Schizosaccharomyces pombe: one gene and its partner. The gene in region 1 interacts genetically with each later gene. Each region holds a gene or a part of one and is shown in the gene's direction. Other genes may lie near its edges.

Region 1 (5,471 bases):
TCAATTGTGACGAGATCAGATTCTACTGTATGCTCAACACCATTAACATTAACAATAATTTTACCTTCAGCAACAAGTTGAGCACTTTTTTCAACTTTTTCCGATTCCGGCCACGAAATCATAGCTTCCTCAACAGCCTTGGCATCACGTTTGAAACGTGGACCAAATTTTTTGCGATTAACTTCAACCTCGAATTGTTCAACAACAACAGGTTCAGGAAGAGCCTCTTGAACTACTAAAGGAGTCTTGGTAGCTTTACTGTGAACGCTAAGATCATAGGCACTACGATCAGCGCAACCTACACACTCGATCCAGCCGTAAGAGCATTGAATTTCGGCATCCCAGCAATCGCAAGCATAATGAGCCATTTCATTGCTCATATGTTGCCTAAAACGAACACGGTTCATATCAATACCAATTTTCTCCAAGAATAAGCTGATACGGGCCATAAAATAACCTAATGTAGTGTTATCAACAATTCCTTTCTTGACAGCATCACCTATGGGCATTTCCAAAATGTCAGTCTTTCCTTCTAATTGGACACCACGGGGCAACAAACGAAGGGGCATATGAGAAACCTCGTCAAATCTATCATGCTCTTTGTTTTTAGGATCGACAAAGTGTTCGACTTCGGCCATCAAAAACTCACGAACACGAAGCAGGCCACTCCGAGGAGAAATCTCATTACGGAAGGCTTTACCAACCATAGCACTGGCAAAGGGAACTTTGCCGTTATTAAACTCCAATAAACGGCTAAAGTTTAAAAATTGTCCTTGGGCAGTTTCAGGTCGGAGGTAACCTTTCAGACCACCACTGGGACCAATTTGAGTTTCAAACATTAAGTTGAACTGACGAGGGGTTTCAAGCTCACCGTTGGTTGCAGGGTTACGAATGTCATACTTCTTCATGAGCTCACCTAATTGATCTCCATCATAGTTGTCAATTTGGGCAAGAATAAACTCGTATTCCTCAACAGTCTTGTCATCCAGACGAGTCGCACGAATTTCCTTTACCTTCTTCTTACGCTTCTTCTTGTCATCAGATTCTTCAGGCTGGTCATTGGAATTCTGCCCACGAGCTTCCTTGTCACCCTTCAAACGGGCTTCCAAAACCTCTTCAACCAAGTGGTCGGCACGAAAGATTTCACCGGTAGCAGGGTCCTTACACATCCAATCTGCAAACTTATCAACATGCCCACTAGTCTTCAAAACTTCATGAGGAGTAAGCATGGAGCAATCAACCTCCAGCATGCTTTCTTCGATAACAAAGTGCTTTCGCCAAATATCAACCAGATTAGATTGAAGTGCACTACCTGGTGGGCCATAATCATACAATCCACTAATTCCACCATAGATTTGAAAAGAAGGAGAGAAGAAGAATCTCTTCTTCATTAACTCCTCGAACTGAGTTCGATCAAAAGCTGCTGCCTTTGAAACTTCTGTCATTTTTCTACTGAAAATCCGTTTAGCAAAGGCTGTGCAAGAAGAACGAAACGCTTGAAAAGAAATTATGCAAGCAAGGAGCGAAAAGCTTTAAAATGCCTGCTTTTCGCCTGGTTTTCAAATGTTTACGGAAGATAAACTGTTCAAAGCTAGAAATTTTGCTAGTTCGTAAAATTCATAGATAGTGCATTTTGTTAGGCTACATCAATTCATATTATGCGTTGTTATGCGAACTTTTGGACTTTCCTTAATTTAAATACGGTACCTGTAAAAAGTACTTGAACACTCTAAATCTTGTTAACATTTTTTACGGAACAACAACGATTTATGTTAAAGATCGTCAACAATCTCACTTCACTGCCCAAAGCGTACAACATGGTCGAAGTATAGGCTGAAACTTTGAACCGCTTAGAAACTACCTTCTACGGGAAAGAAGACGCGATTTTACGTTGTATTATAAGAGAGGAATCCTCAAGTATTGTTGAAAGGAATCGTCAAAGATTGGGTAAAAATGTCGTTTGTCATTTGTCATAATTCCCTTTTAGAAATTTAGTGGTTTCCTCATCAGTATCGCTTTTACCCGTAGATTTCAAAACTAATTGCTTCTTATCTTGTCCATAGTTAAGGATTTCCGTTAACTTCAAACCAATTTCTCTGTTTCTTGTTCTGTTGTTGGTGGGTTTGGCTGGAAGTATTGACTAAAATAAATGGTCCTAAATTACATTCAAAGATGGTTCAAGTGGGTGATACCAACTTTTGGATTCTTGGCAATTCATTATATTTACATTATATCCTTAACTATCATTGCCTCTATCCTACTTTTTACCGGAGGGACCACCACGAAAATCAAGTATATCGATGCTTTATTCTTAGCTAGCAGCGCAACTACCCAAACAGGCCTTAACAGTGTTGACTTAAATTCTTTATCTATCTGGCAGCAGTTTATCCTGTATGGATTTACTGCTATTACGGTTCCTATATGGATGCACGGAAGTATTTCCTTCATCCGGCTGTATTGGTTTCGACGAAAATTTAAAGACGTTGTTCGTCAAAATCGTACTCGAAAATTTCAGAGAAAGCTCCGTAAAAGCTTAATGAAAAAAAGCGAGGATGACGAAGAACAGGGTGTTCGTGGTAGAAAAATTCGTGTAATGTTACCATACCTACATTCACTAAGGAGTCCAACGTCTCTAAAAAACTTCTCGAGATTTGACACGCATGACAGTACGAACAATCCGTACTTTCCTGACAACCCCCCTTCTCCCAAGGCAGATATATCTAAAGACGAGTATTTTGGAAAGTATCTCCCAAAAAAGTCTGATACGCTAGACATGGATTTGGAAAGTCACAACATGACTTTTCATGACTATGAACCTTCCATTGAAAATAAAAATTACGATTTTGGTAGTTCGCATTCAGCCTCGATGCAAATGTATGAAATGGATGACCTTCATCCCCGACTTCGTAGACAAAGCTCTTTTATTTCCTCCGTTAATCCTTTAGAGGCTGACGACACCCGTGAAACTTTATCTGAAGGCGCCTTAGTTCAGGAATCTCTCCCTATGGCTTATAGTTATTCTGATACTAATTTGGTTGTATCGAGGGATTCATTTACTCTCACTGGGGACGACAATCTTTTCCCAGAAGGTGGTTTAAGGCCTGCCAATACAATAGACGGAATAGTAAGGTCGTCTCTGTCTTCTTCCTCCCTATCTAAAGACACTGAACCATCGACAGTTGACATGCATATTGCTTTCACCGGACTTAATAAGCCCACCATAGAGCGTGAACGTAATCTTAAACTTAGAAAAAAAAGTCGTTTTTATAAAAAATCTTTACGTTCCAGATTTTCGCGAGGACTTCATCGTCCAATACGTTGGACAAAGTCATTCACTTCTAACCGACGAAACTTGACTCTTGAACGAGTCCTTTCTTCTGCCTTTGCTAAAAAACGTGAGCCTTCTATTTCATCAAGACACACTACTATGTCACTTCCCTATTTGTCGTATAATCCTACTGTCGATCGTAATTCTGCTTTCGTTGCTTTGTCTAAAGAACAGCGGGACGAGCTGGGTGGAATTGAATATAGAGCTTTGAAATGCGTCTGCTCCATGGTTACCCTTTATTTTATCATTTTTAATATTGCTGCCTTTGTGACCTTCATTGTTTTTGCTTATACGGCAGTGGGATCGCGAGAGGTAATAGATTCTTATGACTTACGTCGTGGGTGGTGGGCGTTATTCTCGTCTGCTTCTTCATTTAATGATTTGGGGTTTTCTTTAATACCATCGTCTTTTGTGCCAATGAATCGAAACATTTTTCTTTTGTTGATTTCATCTTTATTCATTATCGCAGGTAACACGGGATTCCCTTGTTTTTTTAGAACATTCATTTGGACAACGTATAAGCTATACCCTTTTAGTTTTGAGAAGAAAGAAGCTATGGCATTTCTCCTTGATCATCCTCGACGATGTTTCACTTTATTGTTTCCATCTGGAGCAACCTGGGTCTTGTTTTTTGTTTTGCTGCTGCTTAATGTCATTGATCTGGTATTGTTCATGGTCTTAGATACTGGAAGTAAAGCAGTCGCTAGCCTTCCTAAAGGTATTAGGGTTGTAAATGCAATATTTCAATCAGTTTGTACAAGAACCGCAGGATTCACGAGTGTATCAATTAGTGAACTTCACCCAGCAGTACTGGTCAGTTACATGGTTATGATGTATATTTCTGTTTATCCAGTTGCTATCAACATGAGAAATACCAATGTTTATGAGGAGCGATCTTTGGGTGTTTACAGAACTGAAGATGATGAGGGGAAATCTTTCTTAAAAGATCACCTTACTGAACAATTAAGTTACGATTTATGGTATATTTTTCTAGGGCTATTCATCATATGCATTTGTGAAGGAGGTAAAATCTCCAATCCTCTAGATACCGATTTCAGTATTTTTACTGTCCTTTTTGAAGTAGTCTCTGCTTACGGTACGGTGGGACTTAGTACTGGATTAAGCTCCTCAAATTGTTCACTTTCAGCAAGATTTACTACTATAAGTAAACTAGTTATTATAGCACTTGAACTGCGCGGTAGACATAGAGGTTTACCCAGGGCTGTTGATCGAGCCATCCTTCTTCCTTCTGAAAAAAATAATCTGAAAGAAGAAGAAGATTATCAACGTCGTCACGGATTTTCCATAGACAACGCACGTGGCAGTATTGCAGTTTCTCGAGACTGATATTTCTTATCACGATCATGTATTATATTTGTAAATTATATCATCTAATAAATAGTACGCTCGCTAAATTTCATACTCCTGATCGATACACCGTTTGTCCGCCATTTCTGAGTTGAATTGTTTCCTTCGACGAAAGAATTTGTAAAGCCATTTCTAACGCGTGTTGTGAATATCCATGCTAAAATTATGTTAGACTTAGATTTAATCAATAAACATACCCCATTTACGTATTCTCGTATAAGCATACGGTAACTCGCCTGAAACCCTATAGGTAACCTTTTTCTTAAGCTGGCTTCAATTTTTTTTACTTCCTCAGTAACTTCAGGCGAACTTTGTGTAGCAGCAGCAAGTGTACTGGTCAAAAACAGTCGAATCGCTTCAGTAGCGTGAGCTTCAGAAGCAATAGGTGATAATGACATTTTTGCAAGGGATTCAGTAATTCGTATGATTGCCTCTAATTGACGAACAGTGATTGGAATGGTAGAACGCGAGTTACTGTCCTGCTCTGACTGATGAACACGTTTTCGAATTGCGACAAATTGACTAGATAGCTTTTCAGCTGCCTCTGCATCAAGATTAGGTGCACATTTGCTAAATCCATTAGTAACTAATATTAAATTTGGTATACTTACTGTCTACAATAGTTTATGTACCGCCGAAACTTATCAAAAGGAATTTCTCCAATTGCTAAAGTCTCACTAGATTCTTGTAAATTGGTATGAAGATTAATAACGTGACGGGCAATATTTCGATCCTTTGTTTCATCATGTTCATCCTTAACAATAAATATCATGTC
Region 2 (5,133 bases), 2.3 Mb from region 1:
TCAGTTAGAGCAATTCGATGAAGAGCTTTACAAAGTAATTGATGGTGATGAGGAACGCTATTTGATCGCTACCTCCGAACAACCTATTTCTGCCTACCATAGCGGTGAATGGTTTGAAAAGCCTTCTGAACAGCTCCCTCTTAAGTACGCTGGATACAGTACTTGTTATCGTCGTGAAGCAGGGTCCCATGGACGTGATGCTTGGGGTATTTTCCGCGTTCATGCCTTCGAGAAGATTGAACAATTTGTTCTTACCGATCCTGAAAAGTCATGGGAAGCTTTCACCGAGATGATCAACCATGCTGAGGACTTTTATAAGTCTTTAGAATTGCCTTATCGTATCGTTGCCATTGTTTCTGGTGCTTTGAACAATGCTGCTGCCAAGAAGTATGATTTGGAAGCTTGGTTCCCTTTCCAAGGAGAATACAAAGAGCTTGTTTCTTGCTCAAACTGTACCGATTATCAATCTCGTAACTTGGAGATTCGTTGTGGTGTAAAGAAGATGGGCGATCGTGAAAAGAAGTATGTTCACTGCCTTAACTCTACTCTCTGTGCTACTGAGCGGGCACTTTGCTGTATACTTGAAAACTACCAAACTCCTGATGGTGTAAATGTACCTAAGGTGTTGCAACCTTATATGGGAGGTAAAACTTTCCTTCCATTCACCAAGGAATTACCCAAAAATTCTACCTCCAAGAAGGGAAAGAATTAATTGGGTGAAGGTTAGTTGGATTAAATAAATAAGATATCTTCTACTGTTCCGGATTATACCGTCATTATTGTGCGTTTGATGGATTTTGTAAATAAGATGTATGTTGTTTGAATCGAATTGTTCCCTTCCCGTGTACGAAAACGAAAAAAAACCCTTGGTAAAAGACAAATATTTTTTTGTAACTTTACATTTTCCTGGGATAGCAATAGAACTTTTTTAGAAAATAAAATTACGACCAAAATACAATGAATGTCTCGATTATATGTCAAAATGAGTACATACTATTGACTACGGGGTCGTAGCAAGAAACAACAATATGCGACCCCAAAAAAAAAAAAGAAGAAGATGAAAGAAATTAATTAACACAATTTATTTTAAGATAGAAGATTATCATCTGTCTTGTAACAAAGCATTATTAAATGTTTATTTCCTTGCTTTACCGACTGGCTTCACCTTAATTACTAAGTTGTACTAAATTCTGACATTTATGGTACACGCTATTTTGGATTGTGTTTTCTTTAAATTTTTTTGCACTATTTTTATTATTTGTTTGCGAAAATTTTTCACAGTAAACACTTTAGCGTATTATATTTTGTTTTGTTATTGATTACACAATGCATTAAAGCATTTTTTACACAATCTTGGTATAGCAATTTTATGCACTTCCACTCTTTATCTTTGATAGCAAAGCTGACGATTGTATTCTTTTATCTCGTAGCCCCCAACGTTTGCTCATAATAACGCATCTTCCGTTGACATCTTAATAAGGTTGTGGCTACGTTCCTCAACAGAGTTACCTATTAACGTGGCTGTAATTCTCATATTAAAGGGTTCGTTGCAGTGTATTAAGCAGAAGGCTTTAGTGAGAAGGTTGGGTGAATGGGGTCATCCGTTAGCAACATACCGAAAAGTATTGGCAAATAGAGAAAGTCAGTAGTTGGCGGCTTTTAGGGCTCTAAACTGCCTGTATTCTATTTCTTAATAGTCTCTAAGAGATTTATATCTCTATTTTTAAAGGAGACTAACCGAGAATCCTCCGTAACCCAAGTTTGTTCGCGAAACGAGTCGTGCATTCATATTTAGGTGAAAAAAATTTTTCATCAGCTAAAAAATGGGTGAAAAAGACAAACTCCACGAAATTTCAAGCAAATTTGCTTCCTTAGGGCTTGGGTCGCTGAAGTCAACCCCTAAAGCTCGTGAAACGACAGAACCTCCTCCGCCATCATCTCAGCAACCTCCAAGCACTCCAAATGGCAAAGAAGCTGCTTCTCCAAGTGCTTTAAAACAAAATGTCCGTCCTTCCCTTAACTCTGTGCAGCAAACTCCTGCATCGATAGATGCAGTGGCCTCTTCTTCCAATGTAAGCCTGCAATCTCAGCAGCCCTTATCTAAACCTGTCGTTTCATCCAAACCTAATCAAACCACTGCAATGCCACCTCCTAGCAATAACCCATCTCGCCATGTTAGCTCTACTTCAAACAAACCAGCAGCCGTCTCTCCTAATCCAGCAGCGCACCATGCAGAGTTGCCCTCTGGGTCCGTTCCTCCTTCAGCTTCTGTATCCCGAGCAAACTCAACTGCTACCACTACACCTCACAAAGCTGGTGTCGTCTCTAATCCAGCGGCAGCTAACGTTCACGTACTATCTGTAGCTGCCTCTCCTAATCCTTCTACGCCTTCCAACGGCCCAGCACCTGTTTCCACTACAGCAACACCATCTAGAAATCCAGTCACTCGTCTTCAACGTATTTTTTCACAAAACTCTGTATCTCGCCAAAACAGTCGAACTGGTCGAGGCGCAGCTGTTGCAAATACTGAGGAAACGAATAGCACAGGTGGTAGTGAAACAGGTGGTGCTGCTAATAGTTCATCTACTTCAAATCCTTCCTCTGCGAAGTGGTCTCGCTTTACTGTTTATGACGATGCAAGTCATACGCATCAATTAAGGCCTGCTCGTCGGCAAGAGAAGCTTGGTAAGATGTTAAAAGACTTCCTTGCCGGTAACAGTAAAAAGCGTGAGGAAGAGAGGATAGCTAAAGAAGCTGCTGATGCACAGCATCAACTCAGTCTTGTTCAATCATGGATCAACGGATATGGTCAAGAAAAGCTTGCTGACAAAAAAGATCCCGCTAAAGTTTCTGCAAGTTTTGTAGAGAAATATGGTCGCTGTCAGGAGGTTATTGGTCGTGGCGCTTTTGGCGTTGTTAGAATCGCACATAAAGTTGATCCTCAAAACTCCGGCTCTGAGACATTGTATGCCGTTAAGGAGTTCCGTCGAAAGCCTGCCGAGTCTCAAAAGAAGTATACAAAGCGCTTAACATCTGAGTTTTGTATTTCTTCTTCATTGCGACATCCAAACGTGATTCATACATTAGACCTGATCCAGGACGGCAAGGGTGACTATTGTGAAGTGATGGAGCTTTGTTCGGGAGGCGATTTGTATACGCTTATCATGGCCGCCGGTCGTCTAGAGCCTATGGAAGCTGATTGTTTTTTCAAACAATTGATGCGTGGTGTTGATTATTTGCATGATATGGGTGTGGCTCATCGTGATTTAAAGCCGGAAAATTTGTTATTGACCGTTAGCGGAAGTCTAAAAATCACTGATTTCGGTAATGGTGAATGCTTTAGAATGGCCTGGGAGAAGGAGGCTCACATGACATGCGGCCTCTGTGGATCCGCACCCTACATTGCTCCAGAAGAATATACAGAAAGTGAATTTGATCCACGCGCAGTAGATGTCTGGGCTTGTGGTGTTATCTATATGGCCATGCGTACCGGTCGACATCTTTGGCGCGTTGCCAAAAAGAGTGAAGACGAGTATTACTCCAGATATCTGATGGATAGGAAAAACGAGAGCGGTTATGAACCTATCGAAATGCTTGAACGTTCAAGATGCAGAAACACTTTGTACAACATTCTTCATCCCAACCCAACTTACCGCCTGACAGCAAAACAGATAATGAAGAGTGAATGGGTTCGTTCCATCACTCTTTGTGAAGCTGGCAATGCTGGTCTGTAAGTAGAGAGTAGGATTTAAAAGTTACAAATCATGACATTCGAAGCTTTCTAAGCTGTTCGAAAATGAGGATTTACTATTGTTACTGTCTTGATTAAACTATGTTTACATGCATAATTTAATTGTATTGAAAGACTTTTGTTTTTTTATTGCATTCACTCTAGAAGGGCGAAGGGATGGGTTTGATCGTGAAACGCGTCACAAATTATTCATAGTTTGACACAATGCCAAGCGCTATTCAACAATCGCTTGTGTTTGTCTATTTTAACTTTATTACACCTCATGTGGTTTCAACACCGGCACTCCAATTGCCAAGAGGAAAGGGAGAGAGTTGGTGTTTAAACTACATATTTTGGGTATATGTATATATTTTTAAAGAATTCTTACATTAAAGCTTTATATTACGTTCGTTATCATTTTTATATGTACACTAGTGAGCGTGGTGTCTGTGATTTGTTGCATGCACTAGTAAGTCACTTTTTAACTAAACCTAGAAAGTTATGAGCACGGAGCTGACATATCTGAGTTACTTCCACTGTCTAAGACATTAGTGTGTGCAGCTACTTAATAATTAAATTCGGTACCAAAACAAAGAAAATCGTGTTGATTGGTTAATGAATGAAAACTCAATTATAGTTAGATAGATGCATATGAAAAGTAAGCTTCTGAACAGGAGCGTGAGCAAAATGTTTCACTATTGGTAGTATAGAACGAACGTTGGGGTTCAAAGGAATCATAGGAATTGAGAGGAGTGCGAGGGCTGAACAATGTATCAAAATCGAAATGTGTTGTGGTGAAATTCAGCCACTTTTATGATGACACAAATCCAACATACATAGCTGAAAAGAAGCTCAGCTTGAAATTGGGGTTTGTACAGATCCAATTACGAATGGTAGGAAATGTTGATTGAGTATTAAACCTACCTGAACTTGGGAAATGAAATCCAGTATACTGCTCCGTAGGACCTATAACTTGTTGCTGCAGCTGGGGCCAATTAATTCGGATCAGACCTTTACTGTTAATATACTAATAAACGTATTGTGTTAGTATTATGAAAGATAAATACGATTTTCAGTGCGAAACACAAGGTTTTTAAAACCTCTAAATATAAATAAAGAATCAAACTTAAGCACTTACAGCAATGGTAGCGAAAACGGCGGAGCAGGCAACGATGAATAAACGGCCCAATTTTCCTAAAGCAAATCCGGCTGCTAAACCAAGAGAGCTTCCAATAAAGATTTGACGGTAATTCAGCTTAAATTGAGAGGTGATAGTAGTTGCAGCACTTGCCGAATCTTCACACAAGACTGGGCGAAATGGGTGAAACCTGTGCAAGAATCCTCTTCCTAGAAGTAAACAATTCATTATGTGAGAGTAAAAAATAAAGAAAAATAATAGAAAA

Evidence for each region.
Region 2: of trk1 (region 1) and hal4, extra expression of one rescues a mutant of the other (dosage rescue), as found in Schizosaccharomyces pombe (one study listed by BioGRID).

The regions. Positions count from the first base shown.
Region 1 is NC_003424.3:2,817,460-2,822,930, reverse strand, and holds trk1 (plasma membrane potassium ion transmembrane transporter Trk1), read left to right. Parts: upstream 1-1,859; 5' UTR 1,860-2,149; coding exon 2,150-4,675; 3' UTR 4,676-4,745; coding exon of another isoform or gene 4,746-4,853; 3' UTR 4,854-4,893; downstream 4,894-5,471. Other genes in the region: glycine--tRNA (Gly) ligase Grs1, read right to left, coding at 1-1,445; MCM complex subunit Mcm5, read right to left, coding at 4,746-4,853, 4,894-5,266, 5,308-5,471. UniProt on the Schizosaccharomyces pombe protein: Together with TRK2, defines the major, high-affinity potassium influx transport system. Involved in maintenance of the proper sodium/potassium ratio in the cell and in regulating the plasma membrane potential.
Region 2 is NC_003424.3:5,113,105-5,118,237, reverse strand, and holds hal4 (serine/threonine protein kinase Hal4), read left to right. Parts: upstream 1-1,603; 5' UTR 1,604-1,823; coding exon 1,824-3,734; 3' UTR 3,735-4,325; downstream 4,326-5,133. Other genes in the region: serine--tRNA (Ser) ligase Srs1, read left to right, coding at 1-712; fun14 (integral mitochondrial outer membrane (MOM) protein), read right to left, coding at 4,542-4,757, 4,869-5,096. UniProt on the Schizosaccharomyces pombe protein: Promotes K(+) uptake, by the potassium transporter trk1-trk2, which leads to the subsequent cellular resistance to toxic cations such as Na(+), Li(+) and Ca(2+).